Linked DNA regions of Caenorhabditis elegans. The protein of the gene in region 1 purifies or fractionates together with the protein of each later gene. This does not show direct contact. Each region holds a gene or a part of one and is shown on either strand. Other genes may lie near its edges. The genes, in order: C39B5.5, elac-2, etfb-1 and R160.10.

Evidence for each region.
Region 2: the proteins of C39B5.5 (region 1) and elac-2 fractionate together in Caenorhabditis elegans (co-fractionation; one large-scale study listed by BioGRID). This does not show direct contact.
Region 3: the proteins of C39B5.5 (region 1) and etfb-1 fractionate together in Caenorhabditis elegans (co-fractionation; one large-scale study listed by BioGRID). This does not show direct contact.
Region 4: the proteins of C39B5.5 (region 1) and R160.10 fractionate together in Caenorhabditis elegans (co-fractionation; one large-scale study listed by BioGRID). This does not show direct contact.

Annotation. Positions count from the first base shown.
Region 1 is NC_003281.10:2,206,213-2,211,794, forward strand, and holds C39B5.5 (Cystatin domain-containing protein), read left to right. Parts: upstream 1-1,951; 5' UTR 1,952-2,057; coding exon 2,058-2,186; intron 2,187-3,737; coding exon 3,738-3,872; intron 3,873-4,161; coding exon 4,162-4,383; intron 4,384-4,857; coding exon 4,858-4,974; 3' UTR 4,975-5,030; downstream 5,031-5,582. Other genes in the region: C39B5.6 (Glutamyl-tRNA(Gln) amidotransferase subunit B, mitochondrial), read left to right, coding at 205-550; C39B5.14 (Fungal lipase-type domain-containing protein), read left to right, coding at 5,329-5,420.
Region 2 is NC_003282.8:4,738,959-4,746,278, forward strand, and holds elac-2 (Zinc phosphodiesterase ELAC protein 2 homolog), read right to left. Parts: upstream 5,310-7,320; 5' UTR 5,293-5,309; coding exon 5,249-5,292; intron 4,481-5,248; coding exon 4,349-4,480; intron 4,097-4,348; coding exon 3,226-4,096; intron 3,180-3,225; coding exon 3,040-3,179; intron 2,815-3,039; coding exon 1,827-2,814; intron 1,238-1,826; coding exon 1,014-1,237; intron 801-1,013; coding exon 698-800; 3' UTR 532-697; downstream 1-531. Other genes in the region: timm-17B.1 (putative mitochondrial import inner membrane translocase subunit tim-17B.1), read right to left, coding at 5,760-5,870, 5,928-6,038, 6,095-6,280, 6,330-6,441, 6,490-6,515; tctn-1 (Tectonic domain-containing protein), read right to left, coding at 6,877-7,095, 7,142-7,273. UniProt on the Caenorhabditis elegans protein: Zinc phosphodiesterase, which displays some tRNA 3'-processing endonuclease activity. Probably involved in tRNA maturation, by removing a 3'-trailer from precursor tRNA. Involved in germline proliferation.
Region 3 is NC_003279.8:2,417,921-2,422,274, forward strand, and holds etfb-1 (Electron transfer flavoprotein subunit beta), read right to left. Parts: upstream 2,434-4,354; 5' UTR 2,427-2,433; coding exon 2,379-2,426; intron 2,119-2,378; coding exon 1,651-2,118; intron 929-1,650; coding exon 677-928; 3' UTR 541-676; downstream 1-540. Other genes in the region: F23C8.13 (PDZ domain-containing protein), read left to right, coding at 451-537; did-2 (Charged multivesicular body protein 1b), read right to left, coding at 3,042-3,518, 3,579-3,685, 3,744-3,777.
Region 4 is NC_003284.9:4,366,495-4,369,060, forward strand, and holds R160.10 (uncharacterized protein), read right to left. Parts: upstream 1,021-2,566; 5' UTR 1,019-1,020; coding exon 942-1,018; intron 882-941; coding exon 674-881; 3' UTR 532-673; downstream 1-531. Other genes in the region: R160.4 (DUF4845 domain-containing protein), read right to left, coding at 2,049-2,250, 2,301-2,356.

The DNA.
Region 1 (5,582 bases):
TTGTAATAAAAAATGCCAGAAAACCCCTCAAAACATGAATTTTCACCGAAATTTGAATTTTTCATTTTTACAAGGGTTACTATAGCCTCAAAAGTACGCAAACACCAAGAATCTGAAAATTGCGTCAATGGGGTAAAAAGTGCCGGGAAACTCGATTTTTATACCGCAAAATCCAAAAAAATCCCCCCAACCCCGATTTTTCAGCGAATTCTTCGCCCGTCAATTCACCACCCTTCTCAAATTCTCATCAGAGCACCGTCTAACTCGCCTGCGTCTCCTCGATCTTCTACGTCACTATGCGACTGATGATGACGTCATGGCCGGCGAGCTGGAAATTTTAATCGAAGAAAATCGATATTGGAGAATACGGGCGCCGGCGGAAATCGACGAAATCGTGCGAAAATCGATGGAAAAACAGGAAAAATTGGTGGAAAAATGCCGAAGTGGACACGTGAAAAGCTTTAATCGATTGAGAAATTCGATTATTGATTCTTCGAATAAATGCATTGAATTGGAGGATTTAGAAGCATCGATTAGAAGATTATTATAAAGAAAATCGATAATTTTTTGTATTTAAATTGCTAAAAATCAATAAAATCCTAAAAATTTGATTTTTTTGTGACGTCACACAACTTTTTTAATTTTTTTGAAAACATTTTTGGCGATAATTTCAAATTTTCTTCGAATAAATTTTTGGCGGGAAACTCGAAACAGGAAACTCGACGCAGAGTTCTCATGGTTAAGAACGTGCTGACGTCACATGTTTTGGCGGAAAAAATTCCCGCATTTTTGGTAGATCAAACCGTAATGGGACAGCCTCCTGGCACCACGTGCTTTAAAAGTTTTTTGGCGGGAAATTCAAATTTTTTGAGAAAAAATTTCTGCGGAAGTTTTCAGTGTGAAACAAAACAACTTTTTTGCGAAAAAAAAATTGCGAAAAAAATTTTTTTTTTTCGAAAACTTTTTATTCCATTTTTTTTCGATTTTCCACTAAAAACCCCTTGAAAACATTTAAAAATTCGACTTTTCCGCAGTTTTTCAGCCCTAAATCATCGTTTCCAGTCAATTCCCGGTCACTCGGTGTTTGCGTACTTTTGAGGCTACAGTAACCCTGGAATTTTCAAAAATTTTGGGGTTTTTACCAATTTTTGTGCTGTAAAAGAAGGTTTAGGGTGTGGAATTAGTGGGGAAATTCGAATTTTACAATGAAAAACGTCTTCGGGTTACTGTAGCTCGGAAAGTACGCAAACACTTTGCCTACACCGAATTTGACGACAAATTGCAGAATTGTTTGGAAAATAGCTAGAAAATTTTTAAAAATGAAAAAAAAAAGTAAATTTGGGGTAAAAAATGCCGGGAAACTCGAATTTTCCATCAATTTTTTCAAATTTCCAACCTTTGCGGCGGATAATCGGCTTTTGATCTTTGCATAACAGTTTTCAGCTCTTTCATCCAATACAGTATGTCGACTGGGGTTACTGTAGGTGCCTTGTATCGTATACAACGTTTTACGAAGCTCAGCAGCTCGGGTTCTTTCTGAAAAATTGGATTTTTTATTGATTTTTAGCGGAAAATTCAAAATTAGTAGAATTTTATCAATTTTTCGGTGGAAAATCGGATTTTTATCGATTTTTCAGCGGAAAAACTCTCCTGAAATTTTTTTTCATACTTCTTTAGACCAAAATCCACTTTTTTTTGCAAAAATTGCATCCAACAAACTGTTTTCTCGATGATTTTGATGGGGAAAAGGACTCTTGAAAAAACAAAAGTGTAACATTTTCTCTCTCTCCGTCAATTTTTACACACTTTTCGGACGCCAAAAAAGTACATAAAGACGATGGAATCCCCCCCTTAAACTAATTAAAAATTTTCCGTTTTTTTTTTTTGGGGTTCTTTGTGTCCATTTTTTTGCTGCTGCAACAGACGTGTGTGTGTGTCAATCAAAAATTTGAGGACCGCTAGATAGGCTATCTAGAAAATAAAAAAAATATTTATCTATTCAAAAAATCTCCTATGGTATAAAAGTGACGATTTTCAGCTAATTAAACTATTTCAAAATGTCCCTGAATCCTTGGATTATTACATTATTCACTACTTGCTTCTGGGTAGATGTTGGATCACAGATAAGTGTGGACATCCCGCCGCTTAGAGCCTCTGAACTAATTATTCCGGTTTCTAATCGATTTGTGAGTTTATATATATATATATATATTTTTTTTTTCCTCAATTCTCTTGAAATTTCAAATAAGTACGATTTTTGAACTCAGCTCTCCGAGAGCTTTCAAATGACCCCCATATTGCATATGTTACGGCCACTTTGAACATTTCGGTACCCCGACACAGCTGAAACTCTTGCTACAGTACCCATCGTGGCGGGACCCAAATTTTCAAAATGCGTGGAACCTAGTCATGATGGGGGTCATTTGAAAGCTCCGAACAAGCTGAATTTGAATTTATTACTCAAAAATTTATTAAATCAAATTCTATGCTTAAAAATTTCAACTCAACTTTTATCTTTTTTTCAATTCTACTTAAAACTTCAAATAAGTACGATTTTTGAGCTCAGCTCATTGAGACCTTTCAAATGACCCCCATATTGCCTAGGTTCCGGCCACTTTGAAAATTTCGTTACCCCGACACAGCTGAAACTCTTGCTACAGTACCCATCGTGGCGGGACCCAAATTTTCAAAATGCGTGGAACCTAGTCATGATGGGGGTCATTTGAAAGCTCCGAACAAGCTGAATTTGAATTTATTACTCAAAAATTTATTAAATCAAATTCTATGCTTAAAAATTTCAACTCAACTTTTATCTTTTTTTCAATTCTACTTAAAACTTCAAATAAATACGATTTTTGAGCTCAGCTCATTGAGACCTTTCAAATGACCCCCATATTGCCTAGGTTCCGGCCACTTTGAAAATTTCGGAACCCCGACACAGCTGAAGTTGAAGCTACAGTACCCATCGTGGCGGGACCCAAATTTTCAAAATTCGCGGGACCTAGTCATGATGGGGGTTATTTTGAAGCTAATAACATAAGAACAGTAAATTTTCTCATGAAAATTTATTTTTCGAAAAATCTGCAAAAAAATGTTTTGGGTCTCGCAACGAAAACTTAAAATTTTTAAAATTCTGCTAAATCGAAAATTCAACAAAATTTTCGAGTTAAGCTCGTTGAGACCTTTCAAATGACCCCCATATTGCCTAGGTTCCGGCCACTTTGAAAATTTCGTTACCCCGACACAGCTGAAACTCTTGCTACAGTACCCATCGTGGCGGGACCCAAATTTTCAAAATGCGTGGAACCTAGTCATGATGGAGGTCATTTGAAAACTCTAGACTAGCTGAATTCGAATTTATTACTCAAAAATTTATTAAATCAAATTCTATGCTTAAAAACTTCAACTCAACTTTTATCTTTTTTTCAATTCTACTTAAAACTTCAAATAAGTACGATTTTTGAGCTCAGCTCTTCAAGAGCTTTCAAATGACCCCCATATTGCCTAGGTTCCGGCCACTTTGAAAATTTCGGTACCCCGACACAGCTGAAACTCTTGCTACAGTACCCATCGTGGCGGGACCCGAAAATTAAAAAATAGCCGGAACCTAGTCATGAAGGGGGTCATTTGAAAGCTCCGAACAAGCTGAATTTGAATTTATTACTCAAAAATCCAGAAAATCAAATTTTACCTTAAAAATTAGCAATTCTAAATTTTAATTTGTAATTTTTTTCCAGCAACTAATCAGAAGTGCTCCAGTGACAACTCGATCGATAAGCCCATTTCAAGTGATGCAGAAGCTTGCTGACGTTCCAGATGATGGGGAGACATTCAGAGAGGGCCCACTGGATATTAATGGGAGATTGACTGCGGTAAAACTGAAATTTTGAGAAAAATGGTAGTTTAAAGTCAACATTACAATCATTTTTGAATTTATCGTGTTTTTAGCTTTCAAATGAGCCCCATATTGCCTAGGTTCCGAGCATTTTGAAAACTCCGGGTTACGGTAGCTCCAACTTCAGCTGTGTCGCGGCGAGACCCAAAACTTTTTAGACTTAACGTAATCTAGTCATGATTATACTTATTTGAAAGCTTTTTTCATGCTGATTTCATATTTTTGGGTCTCGACGCGAAATCGTCAAAATTAAAAAAAAATTCCAGCGCCTCGTCTGGAAATCCTTTGAAGCCGACATAAACCAACGAATTGAAGGCGAATGGATGTGGGTTCCGCTGAAAGTACTGTCAGCTTACGGTCAAATAGTGTCCGGAATGCAATATGATCTAAAAGTTCTGGCGGGAACTTCAAATTGCTCGAGATATCAGGTCAATGCCTACACGATTCAGGAGCAGAATTGTGTGCATTTTAACGGGCCGAAACGGGCGGTAAGTGGGGATAAATTGATGAAAAATTCGGAAATGAAATTAGAATATTAACATTTAAAAAAATTTCTGAAAGTTATTTTTTATTTCGAAAAATTTCAAAATTTTTTTTTTTTCAAAATTAAAAAAAAAACCTTTAAAAGTCTTTTTCCTTCAAAAATCCTTGCGAAAAATTAAATTCTACGCCATTTTCCACATATAAATCCTTTTTTTCTTGAATTTCCACTCAAATTTTGAATTATCGATTTTCGCGGGGGGTACTGTACCTTCAAAAGTACGCAAACACCGATGACGCGATACTTGGCTAAAAATTGAAATTTCGGCATTAAAAACGCGCAAAATTCAAACTTCATAACTATAGAACACCTGAAATTCACTGGCTTTAATTTTGAAAATTTTGGAAAAAAATTTTCAAAAAAAAAATTTTTTTTTTTTTGAAAAATTTTTTAACTCAAAAATTTTCGATTTTTTTTGCAGATTTTCAACATTTTGGTGATGGAACGGAGCTCAAAAAGTTGGTCCCCATTTATTCCAGACTGGGAGAGAGTTTTTTCGACAGTTGACAGAGAAATCGGAGATAATGAAGACATTTGATTTTTTAAATTTTTTTTTCGTTGAATTTTTGTGATAATAAAATGAGATTTATTAATTTTCCACAATTATTATATTAAATTCTATCATTTTTGCTTATTTTTAACTCAAAAATTTGAATTTAAACGGACATCGTGGAGCAACTGCGCTCTAATGCGAAAAAAAGCGGAAATTAGCAATGGAGCGCGTTTACTGACGGGAATTTTAAATATTTTAATTTTTATAATCAAATTTCTAGTTTAGCACTGATAACGTGCTCGCCATGTGCTCTTTTCCCAAAAAAATCCTATAAAAATCGCAGTTTTTGTCTTCTTATCACATTTTTTTCATTTCTTTCATTGCGGTGAATTTTTCTAAATGAAATTTCTAGTTTACTCTCTATTACTTTTTCATTTCTCTAGTTTTGTGGAATCCAGTAAATGTACGGATTGTATTGCATCTGGAAAGCAGTAAGTTTTTGCTTCGAGACCCAGTTTTGAGCAAAGCTAAAAATATGACATTAAAACTAGAATTTTTGAATTCACCGTGATTTCAGCTTCAAAATGACACCCATATTGACTAAGCTAGGTCAATTTTGAGGATTTTGGGATTTTGACACAGCTGAAATTGGT
Region 2 (7,320 bases), on another chromosome or scaffold:
CAAAGGAATATTCTCTATCCACTTGAATTTATCAAGATTATGAAAATTTACACTTCTTGGGCGGAAAAAAGTTTTGACGCACATAATACGGAAACGCCGAAAAATTCCCCTATTAAACACGAACGCCGTGATCCACGGCCAATTGAAAACGTCCCGCCTTTCAACTTGTTAGGTATTGGCGGGTAAACTAGGAATTCAAACGCTTTCATTTTTCTGAACGGTTTCAATCGTTAAAACTGATAACATAAAATTGATAATAAAATTTAAAAAGCAGTAGAATTCCCTTTTTCAATATCACATGCATTTTTTTTAAACAAAATAATCATTTAAAACAATTTTCAAAAAAGTCGAAAACCGCCTGTATATTTGGTTTTACCGCTAAATACCTAACGAGACCCAACGGTTGGGGTAGTCGTTTTATTTGGAGCGCGATTGCGCCTCAATTTCAAAGAGATCAGTTTTGTGCGTCCCCAATAGAACACTTGTAATTGTAACTTCACATATTGTTCTTCTGAAAAAAAGAAGCTTAATAGTACCATATAAATTTTTATTGCTGGAACCAAAAATTTTTTGTTCCAAAACTTTCCGAGAAAAAAACCTTGACAACAAAACAAGAAAATGAAAACAAAAGTAACAATGAACTAAAAACGTGAATAACTGGATGAAAAGTGAATTAATGTTGAATGTGGCCAGTCACTCAAGCCTTTAATTGACCTCGCTTTTCAGACAATTCCTTGTCTTTCAAAACCCGTTGTTCTTTTTTGATGGTTAATTCGAATAGTTCCGCCACGAATACTTCTCTGTAAATTTATAAATTTATTTATTTCAACATTTTGCTTTAAATGACAGAAAATGGACCACAAGAACCGAATATAACTGTTAAAAATTAATAAAATTATAAAATATTTCTGAATTTTTTGAAAATTGTTTCAATTTTGCAAAAAAAAATTCGAGCACAGTTATATTCGGTCATTATGGCCCATTTTCTCCTGAATACTGAATCTGAAATCTACCTAAAAATGGGAAGAAGTTTCGAAACAAGTGGTAAATGATCGAATCGAACTCTCAACATATCCATCGCCACACCAATATTTTCCTTATCAAGATATTCAGGAAGAACTGGTACTTTTGGATATCTCGCACTGAAATGTGTCAGAATAATGTGCTTGGCATTCATTCGTTTTCCAACATCGACTGCTTGACCCATTGTTGAATGACGTTTTCTCATTGCATCAGCCTGAAATTAATTGGTTGAAAAATTTCAATATTTGCCTTAAAAAACCAAAATAGTCCGAAACTCAGAAAAAATTCGCTGTTTGAATGCCTGCCAAATGAGAAATATGACAAATCAGCGAATAGCTCCGCCCATATTTCGACCAATCAGGCGGAATGAGAGGAGCAAGTCGCTGATTGGTCTTGAAGTTCTCAGTTTGGATGGAATTCAAATTAAAAAAAAAAACTGAAAAAGCGGGTTTCTAATAGTTGGATTTTTCATTATTGCACTAAAAATACGTAATATAGGGTCTCGACACGACAAAATTTTTGCCGAATGCAAAAAGTTATTCGCCTTTGAAGAATACTGTAGGTTCAAACTTTTGTTTCTGCAAGATTTCCATCGATTTTTCTCACAAGTTTATATATTTCTCAACGAAAAACTATGAAAATTCGATGAAAATTCTGTTATCTTCAATCTCTGCATTTATCCAAAAATTGTCGTGTTGAGACCCTAGCTACCGTATTTTGGCTAAAAATCTCGTACAATTTAGTAATAAAACCAAAGACGAAATTTTAGCCAATTTTTTTGGGGGTTTTGGTGTCATATCTACCTCATGACCATCTTCAAAAGTGGATTCATGAACAAGAACATCAGCATCTTTTCCTTCTTCAACCAACAAATCACATGGTTTCGTATCTCCAGAGAATACAATTCGTTTTCCAGCAACTCTCATCACAAATCCATTTGCCATTCTTGTATGATGAACTTGTACAGCCTTCAGCTCATCCAGCTTCCATGCCTTTTTATCGAAACTGCTCGACATATCCTGTAGAACATCTCTGCTCGGCGGGAGATGTGGGCTCGGAAGTCTCGGTCTTTTTCCAGGAGGCCCTCCAGGGCTCCCGGGAGGTGTTAGTGGATACCTGGAGATATCAACAATTTCGAGGAGATGCTCAATGTTTTCAAAGCAAATTGAGTAGGTCTTCATTGGTTTCAGAACATTCCGATTGCATACAAGGACTAGTGGACGGTAAGGGGCTCCGAGGGACTCGAAAGCTTCTTTTCTCCGTGCAATAATTGTGTACAGCCCATTCATATGATCCTGATGAGCGTGAGTGATAAGGACGCAGTTGAGATTTACCAGAAGCTGCTTACAACCATCTTCTCCAAAAACTGCTCTCATTTGTCCATATGTTCCTTCTCCAACATCAATTAAAATCGCACTGTTCTCTGATGCTTCCACCAGATATCCTGTCACATTTCGATATTTTGATGGAACCGCGGACGAAGTTCCGAAGAATGTTAATTTCGGAAATTCGCAGTCCATTTTATTCTCCTTCTCCAACTTCTGATATTCCTTAATCAATTCCTTCGCTTTATCCGACAGCTCTGGCTCAGCAGCTAGCAAATTGTTGACGATGGGCTCCTCGTTGAACGAAGCTCCTCGGCGCATCCAATATCGTTGCATTGGAGCCACTCGAATGAATTGATCCTGTCGTTGTGATAGCTCCTCATTTTGAGTTATAATTCCACTCCAATCAATTGGGTGAAGAGCTGGGAAGAGAGATGGAGCAATTGATCGAAGAAGGCGAGTGTGTCTGTAAATAACAATTTGGATTCTTAAAACCTATGGATTTTGTAAAACTGAAATTTTTTGAATTTTCTGATGCCGCGAGGGAACACGAAAACGGGATCTCGTCAAATAGAAGATCTGCGAAAACAGAGGTCCTGAAATCGTGCCAACTGCAGCTCTTGAGACCCTGGATCTTGTTTTCGCAGATCTCGAATTCGTAGATCTATTCAATATTTCATATTTTCCTTACTTATAGACACTTTCCACAGCTGGAATCACAGGATTCCCTCCATTGATCAGCAAATGAGTGATACTGGGATTGTTGAGCTTCTCCATCAAATGTCTGTAGGTTGGAGTATTGATTACTGCATCATCACTGATATGAACCATCTGAAAATGTATTTTTTAATGTCAATAATTCTTTTTTCAATCTTACATAATCCAACTGTTTTTCCCCATTCAAAAATGGTTGCAGTGATGATGAGTCTATCAGTGCTTTCACATGATCCTCTGTAGTACATTCTGTCACTAAAAGCAGTGGCTTGTCTCCTTCAACTTTATCCGATGAGAAAACTTGATCAGGTTGAATCGTCCTTCCATCTGGAAGAGTAACTGCTTCTCCTGATTTCAGTTTTCCAATTAGTGGACCTTTCGGTACTTTCAGTTCCATCAACTTCATCGTATCGATTCGTCTGGCTGCCTCCTTCATTTCGATTAAAAATGCAATGTCTACATTGTTGACTTTCACATTTTTACTTTTTTCGTTGTTACTTCCGATATTCAACGGTGGACTCAGAGGAATATATGTGACCTTTAATCCGGCATCCTCATAATTCTCCATTGTATATGGACGTTCTTCAACTTGAGATGGATACTTGCAGCTACCGTAATCCGAATCTTGAAATGGTCGAATACATTCCAAAAAGTGTTTGATATTCATTGCACCATGAAGTCGAGTAGACAATGCATTTGATTCCTTAGAAAGTAGAATTGATGAAATTCCAGCAATATTATCCCAATTTGCAGATGTGATGAAAAGATCAACGACGCTTGAACTTCGGATCCTAAGCTGCCACAGGAATCTGCATGCATTCTCAGGGCAGTTGAACATGTAGGTTTTCAGTGGTGTTCGAAGGATGAAGCATGCTCGGAGAAGTCCTGTTCCATTACCGAGAACTTCGATCGATACTTGACTGGGAATGTTGACAATTGAGTTGGCCGGTGGTTCGTGAGCCGCTTTTTGTTTCTTCTGCACTGCCGCCATTGATTGTCGCAGATTTGAGATGCTTGCGTTTACTTCTCGAGCTCTGAAATATTGGTAAAGTTTATTAAATAGCGTCAAAAAAATCAAAAATTCGAATTTTTTCATACAGTTTATGTATTTTTCAACTGAAATTTTGAAAAAATTGACGGAAGCATGTCAAATTTCAAGTTTTGAGGTCGAACATATATGTGAAATCTTGAAAAATGTCTCTTTAACGCATTTTGCCATTCAACAAAATTGTCGTGCCGAGACCCCGTACTGTACTTTTCAGACAAAAAATCCCAATAAAACTCACTTCAAATGTGAAGACGAATGCTTCTGAAGAATTCGGCGATTTCTGGCAATTCTCTCCTTGATACTTTCTAATAATTCTTCGTTATTATCCTTAAATAAGCAGCTGGTTGAAGAAATCAAGTGACGAGAAACTCTGAAAAGTGAGATTGTGAAAAATTGCGAAATGTGAAAGTACTAGCGGAAAAACATGCAGAAATTAAAATTGTTGTTATCCAGGTGTGGAATTTTGCAAATCTCCAACAAACTAGGTCTCGACACGACAGTTTTTGCTGCAAAACTTGAAAAAGCGTGCGCCTTTAAAGAGTACTGTAGCTTCAAAGTCTCGCCGTGGATATATCCGCGCCAGTAGGCTGTTTTTTGTGCGCTTTCGATGACGAGACTGTGGGATACATATATAATTTTTTAAACACATACAATTTCAAGAAAACGGGATGAAAAACTATGAAATATCCGCAAAAACAAAAGTTTAAAATTACAGTACTCTTTAAAGGCGCACGCCTCTTTGCAGTTTGCAAAACTTTCTCGCGTCGAGACCATATACCGTATTTTTAGCATAAAAACATTTCATGCAATTTTCCGCAAAATTTCCGATATTTTTATACACTTTATGCCAAAAAACAACATTTTCATGTTTTCAAATTTTTAAAATGCATTTCTAGCAAAAAACACCGTGAAATTCATTGTTTAAAAATCAAATATCGATATTTTCAGGCAAAATGTAGAAAAATTCCCGTTTTTTCTCAAAACCTGGAGTTTCTGTATAAAAATTTCGCGTTTTTTAAACGAGAAATCTCGAATTTCAAGGTTTTCGGGTAAAAAATAATGAAATTTCAGAATTTTTGCCTAAAATCGCAAATTTTCTCGTCTATTTCAATTGGGGGGACCACTCACAAACCCTTACAGAATCCGATTCTCTACAGTTTTCCTCGCAATCGCTCCGAGCATCAGCTTCGAGCTTTCAGCTGAAATTTATTTGAATTTCATGCACTCTATTGTGCTAAAGAGCTGGAAGTTAATGTATAATTTCAAGATTTAATTTTACTTTAAACACGATTGAATCATCATGATATTATAAACAACGTCTTCATCGGAAAAAGAAATAGGGAACAGTGAAGATTATTAAAAAGAAATTAAAGGGGAAAGAAATTCGAAAAAACAGGGGAGAGATGGAGATGCCGTGCACCCATACGGATCTGAAACTTGATTTTTGGAAGGAAAGCGCGAATCTAAATAAGATTCGTGATCGCAATGAACATCATCAACAAAACAAACAACACTAATGTAATATGTAACTAATAAAATTGGAGCTCCTAAAAAATGTAGAGGAATCGGCCGATCACCGAAGTTGGAGGGGGGAAAATTGAGATAAGAGACAAAAGCATAAAGAAAAACGGATATGAGTGAAAAAAGATTTAGGACAGATTTGGTAATCCAGTTGGAATTCCGAAGGGTCTCGTTTGGTCGAGTCCTGGTTCTGCTTGACTCTTTTGTCCCAGACTGCGTGGATCGTCGAGAGCTTCTGGCTGCAAAAATAGTGAATAAATAAATAAATAAGTTTTGAGCCAGAAAACAAAACATACCGGCGGCTGTGTTGGATCCATCATTGCTCCCATCCAGCGGGTGGTCACCAATCCGACTCCTTCGATCATAGCCAGAATTACAGAGCCAAGAATCGCACTTCCTGCCATCACCTAAACAAAAATTATTAAATTATTATTAATTCACTAAATTAAAGCTATTCTGCTACCTTTGGTCCTGAACGGATCGCCAAAAGAGCTCCAGTCAATCCTCCAGAAACAATAGAGTTGATGGGGTCTTCCTTCTTGCGGATGGCGACAAGACAACAATCGATTGTACTGAACATTCCTCCCCAAGCGGCAAACTGAACTCCTGTTAATGTGCTTCTCATTCGTACTTCTCGCATCATCCCAACCTAAATTAATCAATTAATTAAGTATTTTTGTCTTTAAAAAATTAATCACCAATTTCTTTCCTTTCGCCGCATTTTTATATCCTCCAAAAGCTTGGAAAATGGATCCTCCAACGAGACCCATCGCAAACGCCGATCCAATATCATCTCCGATACGATATGGGCTGGAAAAAATTATTTTCAGTAAAAAAACCAATTTTAGGAAATCTTACCATGGCTCTCTGGTGTACTCTTCCATTTTTGTGTGTATTTATTCCCTGAAAACAGAAATTGATTAAATTTATTGATTTTAAAGCGGTAAAAGTGCAGTTTTTTGTAAAGAATTGAGTTGAAAAATGAATCTGAAAGCTCGAGAAAAGTGCACGAGAAGTGCGCCATCACGCAAATTTCACGAGACATGCGTCAGCAAAGAATTGCTTGCGTCCTTCTTGACTTTCGTTTTTTCTATCGTTTTTATTTTTATTTATTTCTTTGAATCATTAACTTTTATCTTAAAAGTTTAAATCTTAAACATTAAAGTTAAATAAAATAAATATTTTCTTTAGTTTGTGACTAGATTTAATAAAAATTAACAAGGATAAATACTTTAAAAACAGTTTTTATTTAAGAATATAGATTATAAAAATGATAAAAATACATTGTGAATAGTTTAAGCTAGCAGAGTAGTTTGAAGTGCTCATAAATGGATAGAAGAAGTCGTGAGGTAGTCGAATATCAACGTAAGGTAAAGCTGAAAATATGTTCTTCGGAGGTGGTGTGACTTCTGTGAATGAAATTGAGATTGGCATACGAATTTCTTGGCCAGAAAGATACGGAACCTGAATAAAAAACTAATTTTGTATACATTAAATAAGAAGGTCATACATCATCTAAAAGTAGCTGTGAGTTTCCTGCAATTATAACCTCTCGATAGTTTTTTGTAGATCCTTGCTTGGAATAGTAGATTTGAAGTAACGAGGACACAGGTAAACGGCAGGATATTGTGGAAGGTGATAGCTGAAATTAAAAAAATATATAAATTAAATAGCTAATTAAATAATAAA
Region 3 (4,354 bases), on another chromosome or scaffold:
TACGCATTCTCAGAATGTGTGAGTTTCCGTAATACTATAAAGTGCAATTGCGCTCCACGGACAAATCTCCACCCCAAACCGTTGGGTCTCGTTAGGAATTGGCGGGAAAACCGTTTTTGCCAATTTTCCAGCATTTTTCGCTGTTTTCAATGAGTTTTTTTTTGTCAAAATTGAAAAAGTTAATGTCATAATCATTTTTAACCATAATTTCGGCATAAAAACATAAAAAATAACGAAAAATGCTTGAAAACGGGTAAAATCGTCGGAAGTAATCGTTATTTCGACCTAAAACTTATAAAAAATATGAAAAAAAGCTTAAAAATTGGCAAGAATAATGTAAAACATTTGAATTTCCCGTCTTGCCGCCAAATATTTACCTAACGAGACCCATCGTTTAGGGGCGGGGCGCGTAATTTTTCGCGCCCAGATAATAATCCGTAATATTTCCAGATCTACCTACACCAATTCTCCCATGGTTTTGTGAACAATGCATTCCGTTTTTTGATCGTTTCCCGTTCAAGCTATTCACTTTTATGAACAAAAATAATTTTTCATACTTTTTTAAACCTGCATCACATAAAACATTGAATAGAAAAAATAATAAAAATAATTTAAATACAAAATTTTCTGATTCGACTACTACAATAATTCAGCGGCGGAAGAGGTTATCGGGGGCTTAAGCCTTGACGAATCCCTTCTCCTTGAGCTTGGCGACAAGTGCCGAGACATCGTCGACGAATCCTCCGGCCTGGCGAACTGGTGGCTCGGTGACTTCAAGAGTTTCAGTTTGTGGTGTGATATCTACATTCAGATCTTTGATTGGAATGTTCTTCAGTGGCTTCTTCTTGGCCTTCATGATGTTTGGAAGAGTCGCGTAGCGGGGCTCGTTGAGGCGAAGATCGGCGGATAGGACGAATGGCACTTTGACCTGGAAAATAGAAAATTTTTCGAATAAAACTTTAGATCCGTGAATTTTGCAAACAAAATAGCGGCGCGCAGAAATAGGGGCGGGGCGTTATTTTGCAACCTTGCGGCACGGTTTTTCCTCCTTTTTTCGCTTTTTCAATTTTTCATGTTTTAATCTCCTTTTTTTTCGAATAAGAACGTTATTTAATTAACTATCAAAATTTATTAATCGATCCTTGAATTTTGCAAGAAATTTTGTCGCCCAGAAAGTGGGGCGGGGCATAGCTTTTGCAACACTGCCGCACGGGGTTTGCCTCCGCCCCTTTTCTACTGCTTTTAAGCTTTTCTTGTTGATTTTTTCAATAATTTCTTTTTTTTTCGAATGAAAATCCAATTCGAAAAAAAAGAGAAAAATCGAAACTTTATTGAAAAAATCAACAAAAAAAGCAGTGGAAAAGGGGCGGAGACAAACCCCGTGCGGCAGTGTTGCGTAAGCTACGCTCCGCCCCACTTTCTGTGCGACAAATTTTTGCAAAATTTAAGGATCGATTAATAAATTTTGATTTTAAATTAAATAACGTTCTCATTCGAAAAAAGAGATTAAAACATGAAAAATTGAAAAAATCAAACAAAAAACAAGCGGAAAAAGGAAAAACCGTGCCGCAGGGTTGCAATATCAAGCCCCGTCTCGCGTTCTGTGCGGGGCTGCTTTTCACGGCTATCGATCGATATAGTAAGAATCACCTTAATCGTGTCAAGACCTCCATCAATTTCACGGGTGACCTTCATGTGTCCAGCGCCTGCGTCTTCAACCTTCGACGCGTAGAGAGCCTGTGGCCACTCGAGCAGGCCAGCGAGAATCGGAGCAGTTTGCGACGAATCATCATCGATTGCCTGCTTTCCGAGAAAAACCGCGTCGAACTTCTCCTGCTCGACAATCTTCTGAAGCGCCTTCGCCACGTGGAATGACTCGAGCTTGCCAGCTTCGGCGTCGGTCACCTGAACGTGAACTGCCTTGTCGGCGCCCTTCGCCAACGCGGTCCGGAGCACTTCGGCGGATTTTGGTCCGCCGAGCGAGAACGCGACGACTTCGGTGGCGAGCTTCTTCTCCTTGAGCTTGACGGCCTCCTCTAAAGCGATCTCGTCGAATGGATTCATGCTGTGTTGAACTCCTTCGGTGACGACTCCCGAGCGGTCCGGCTTGACACGGATCTGGAAATTTTGGGCTTTTATAGAATCGAAATGTGTCTAAAATCTCCAATTTATCCAAGTTTTCCGTGTCACAGCGGTTGGAAATCAGCTTTTATTGCCAATTTTAATCGATTTTCCGTTGATTGGGGTACACTTTGAGCCAAAAATGACAAAAAACTGATTTCCAACTGCTGCGACACGGAAAAGTTGGTGAAATTCAAGATTTTCGCCGAAATTAAGCTGTTTTTTCGAATTTTTTGCTCTTTTTCCTGAAATCCTACCTTGACAGCATAGTCGACAACTCTCTTGACTCCGACGAGAATCTTCATCGCTTGGCTGGAAGAAAAACTGGGAATAAATTTATTTATTTATTAATAAATGAAGAAATGATCGAAAAAAACAGCGGCGGCGGGGTCAAAGTACACACTTCAGAGTTCAGAATTTGATTTTTAAATTTGAATCAATTAATTAAAGCCGAAATTCGAAATTTTAGCCGAAAAATGTTTAAAATAGCTTTAAAACTGCCACGTTTTTCCTTAAAAACCTTCGAAAATTCCGTTTTTTATAGAAAATTCGTGAAAAATAAGAATAAAAATAATAAAACAAGTGATGAGAGAGATAAGACGATGTGGAGAGAGAGTGTGGGAAGACGAGAGACGCAGAGAATGAAACGCGGGCGGTGATTGTTGTGGCCTACACGTAAGCGACCGATTTGTAGAAAAAATGTTCTGAAAAATAAAAGAATAAATATTTCGAAGAAGACATGAGCTGAACTTCGTAGATCTAGATAGATTAGATAAAACAAAAAAAAAGCAGAAAAATTGTTGCTTCATTATTGAGAGAAATGTTGTATATACAAGAAAAAAAGCAGTATCTTAATTTTAAAAATGAAACCGTCAGCAGAATATTCATATTCACAGAAATTTCTTGAGAAATCTGGAAGATCACATGTTGCGAAGAGCAGCCAGGCGTTCTGTGAGGTCCTTGTCTTCTGAAACAGCTTGCGTCCCGGTCGGCAGAGCAGTTGGCACGTTTGACGGAAGCTCCTGGTTGAGCTCGATGCCTGCCTTGTCGGCGGCCTCTGCAATCAGAGCATCCACCTGTGACTTCGGAGCATTCAACACTGTCGTTCCGTCCATCGTCTTTTCCATCGTCTTTGTGGTCACGTCGAGATCTTCGAAATCTCTTTCGAATCTATCCATCAACTGTTGAACTTTCTCGAGATTCATGCTCTTCATGGCGCTTTCCATGGCTTTCACTACGCCGCTCATGCTGGCGGTTACTCGTTTTTGTGTGGCGGCGGTTTGAACTCGGGCGGCCACTGCGTCGATTCTGGCGGCCATTTTAATGTAGTTCACTGCTTCATTCTTCTTCCTGATCGCATTTTCAGCATGAACCTGTGCGACTTCTTTGTTTCCTTTCTGGAAAAAATCGAATTTAAAAAATAATTGTTTTTTTTTTCATTTTTAATTATTTTTTACCTTAATAGCTGCCGTCAGCTTGTCTTTCTCGACCTTTTCATCCTTCTCGCATCGTTGAGCATTCTTTTCCAACTGTTTCGCTGCGAATTTAAGATCAAATAAGTGTTCTGGAAGATAAAAACATGAAAATAAGTCAAAATCAAGAGAAATCAATTTGAAACTCACTTTCCAAGGCCATACTGCTTTCTCCGGCTCCCATGATGATTTTATGTGTATTAAGCTGGTATTTGAGTTTCTGAAATACGAGAATTACGGTGAGAAAGTGCTTTTATAAGTTAAATTTCGCAAGAAAGCGATAAAAACAAATTCATGAGTCATGTGTGTGTATCTGCGGACTTTACGTCATAAACGACGACACTTGATGTCCGCAAGCAGCGGATCTTACGACAATTTTGGGTTGTAGAAATTTCTGTATTTTAAGTCGGTTTCAGGCTATAAAACACAAAATTATCAACGTCAAAAATATTTCCAGATCCGCTATATGAATTTGAAAAAATTAACATCGTAATTTCACCGATAGATAAAATCGCACAAAAATAAACTACCATAAACTTTTTTGCGTGCCAAGACCAATCTGAATAAATCTGTGCGCCTTTCTTTGAAAATTACTGTAATTATCGACTTTTCGTAGTTTTTTTGTAAAAAAAATTGAATTTATTCATCAATAAACTAACAAAAAACAGTATATGTTTTAACAAATCAAAAGAAATAAAAAAATTGAAGAAAATACCGCAATTTTTAAATTACAGTACTCTTTAAAGGCGCACACCTTCACG
Region 4 (2,566 bases), on another chromosome or scaffold:
ATATTCGTCACTCGCTGCTCATCACGGGGCAATGCACAGATTGAGTAGATGGAAGAAAATTGGCAGATGCTATATGCGCACAAAAAAATGTTGGAAAGGGAACATGAAAAAGTGGTGAAGAGGGCAAGGGGGATTGGAGGCGAAGAGCAAATACTGTGTAAAAAACACATCAAAAACATAAACCTCTATTCTTAATTGATTGAGAGACTTGCAAGTATGTACTGGCCGAGCCAATAATCTATGAGTGCATAGATTCAAACTCAGTAAACAATTACAATTTGAATTTGCATGAGTCGCTGCTCAGTGTGATACGGAGCCATTGAATTCTCTGAGCAGCGACGCTTTTAAAACAAAATAATTCGAGTTTGTTGATATATAGAGAATGTTTTTGTAATGTCTGGAAATAATTCTATAACTGGATACTACACAACAGTACGAAAAAAAGGGACACATGACAAAAACCTATTGATCTAATTTTCGTATATATTGCAAATTGGGGCTAAATGGAATCATTTTGAAATTGCCAATTTATTCAGTAATAACTTTATACATATAAAAATTAAACACAAACTTATGTTCTCTCTAGGTTTCAATGATAATTATGACAATTTATTGAAATGTGTGGTATGATTATGCGGGTTATAGCAATTGGGAAAATAATACAATAAGACACTTAAACGCGTGAATTGTTGATAGGAGCTCGTGACAGCAATGGTAGTCTTCCTGGTAATGGGTCGTTAGTTGTTCCAAGTGATGCTAGGGGTATAGACCCTTGAGCGTTCTCAGCGTCCTCATCTCCTTCCAGCTCTGGCCGGCAGCAACTTCCTCTCCGTCCACAGCAACCGTACTTTTGCATGATGTAGTCTACCAAAAAACCAATGCTGGAAATTCAAAAATGTTCATTTTGTTTTTTAAAAGACTCCTGAAAACTTTGTTCTCACCTGAGACACGAGAGGACAACAACCAAAAAAATGAGCATCGGCGGAACATGATATTTGATTGTTTGAGCTGTTTCCATCTGACAAATAATTCGGAATGTTGAACAAAAAATGAAACTTATAAATATGAGACAAGGATTAACAACCTTGTGGGATATAGTAATAGAAGATAAATCGGTAATAATTTAAATACGTTTATTGGTGTAAAAAAGTAATGGGCAATCGGTAGGGTGTATCAGGAAACATCTATGATTAGCAGTACAATTTCTGAAATTAATTCCCATTAAAAAATTTGAAAAAAATAGATGACAGCAACCTCTAAATGGTAGCTTCAACTCGGATGACTGTGGTTCGAGCAATGTGTTTATGCATGTTTTGAAACACCTCGGCAATGAAGTACCAAATTCTAAAATTTTGGATAAAATTGAATTATTTTTTGAAAGTGGAATAAGAAATTACATGACCACCGCCGAAGTCAAACCGATAACTATCAAAAATCCAATGGTCACTAAATTCTGGACGTCCATGGTAAAGTTTGAGTTGTATAAAAATGAGGTATCTGAATCTTGAAATGAGATGTGTGCGATATATTTTTCAATCGCCGATAATGAGAATTGAAATGTTTTATAAAAGCGTGTACATGTATGCATTTTAGACCAGAATTTTTACTCCTCACACAGAAAAAAAATGTCTGACGAAATAATTAACACATGAATTACGTCAAGGTTAAATTTTACAATCATAAATATGGTTTAAGAAAAGTTTAAGAATTCCAGTAATCCGAAATTTGGGCAATTTCAGCCAGTTCCAAAATTGCTCACTGCAGCAAATTCAAAAACCAGCAATTGCTCAACTTACCAATTACCGCACACCTCTGATCAAACCAAAATAATAGTTATGGTTTGGCAACCTAACAATACCAAAATATTAACCAAAACGGAAGGGCACGCTAAAATTTATCCACAAAAAAGTTATTCGAGAGCTACTAAAAAGAAATAGTCTATACTACTGTATTTCAATTTTATCGTTGTTACAAATTATGAATACATATGGTGCATGTTGATCGTCTGTAATAAAATTTTGAAAAAATTTACGAACATTTTTCTTACTTTAAATAGGAAGAAGTGGAACAGTGTCTATGATCACTTTGTTGGCAGCATATACTTCCAGCCCATGCATTTGCTCCAGTTGCTCCACGTCAAGAGATACAAATCCTTGTGGACGACTTGGCTCCTCTTCATCCTCAAATCTTTCGAAAAAACGGGGCTGTGGGAAGAACCATTCTCTGATGAGAGTTATGAATAGGATGATGCTATAATTTCCATAACTATTTAAAAATAATTTCAGATCATCGTCACTTACAAAAATATTGACCAAATTAGGAGCAAGATGAGATAGATGCATTTGATGATGTCCATGTTGAAACAAGTCATGCAGGTTTGCGAAATAGTAATTGAAACTAACAAAAAGTTAAGAAGGATAATTAATTAAATATACAGGTATACTTATTGGTTTCAACCAAAATCGATATGAAAAATTGTTCAGAAATTGACATATGTAACATCAACATTCATTAACAAAAAAAGGAGATCAATAATTAATCTGTGCAGTGCTAACAATGACAAATG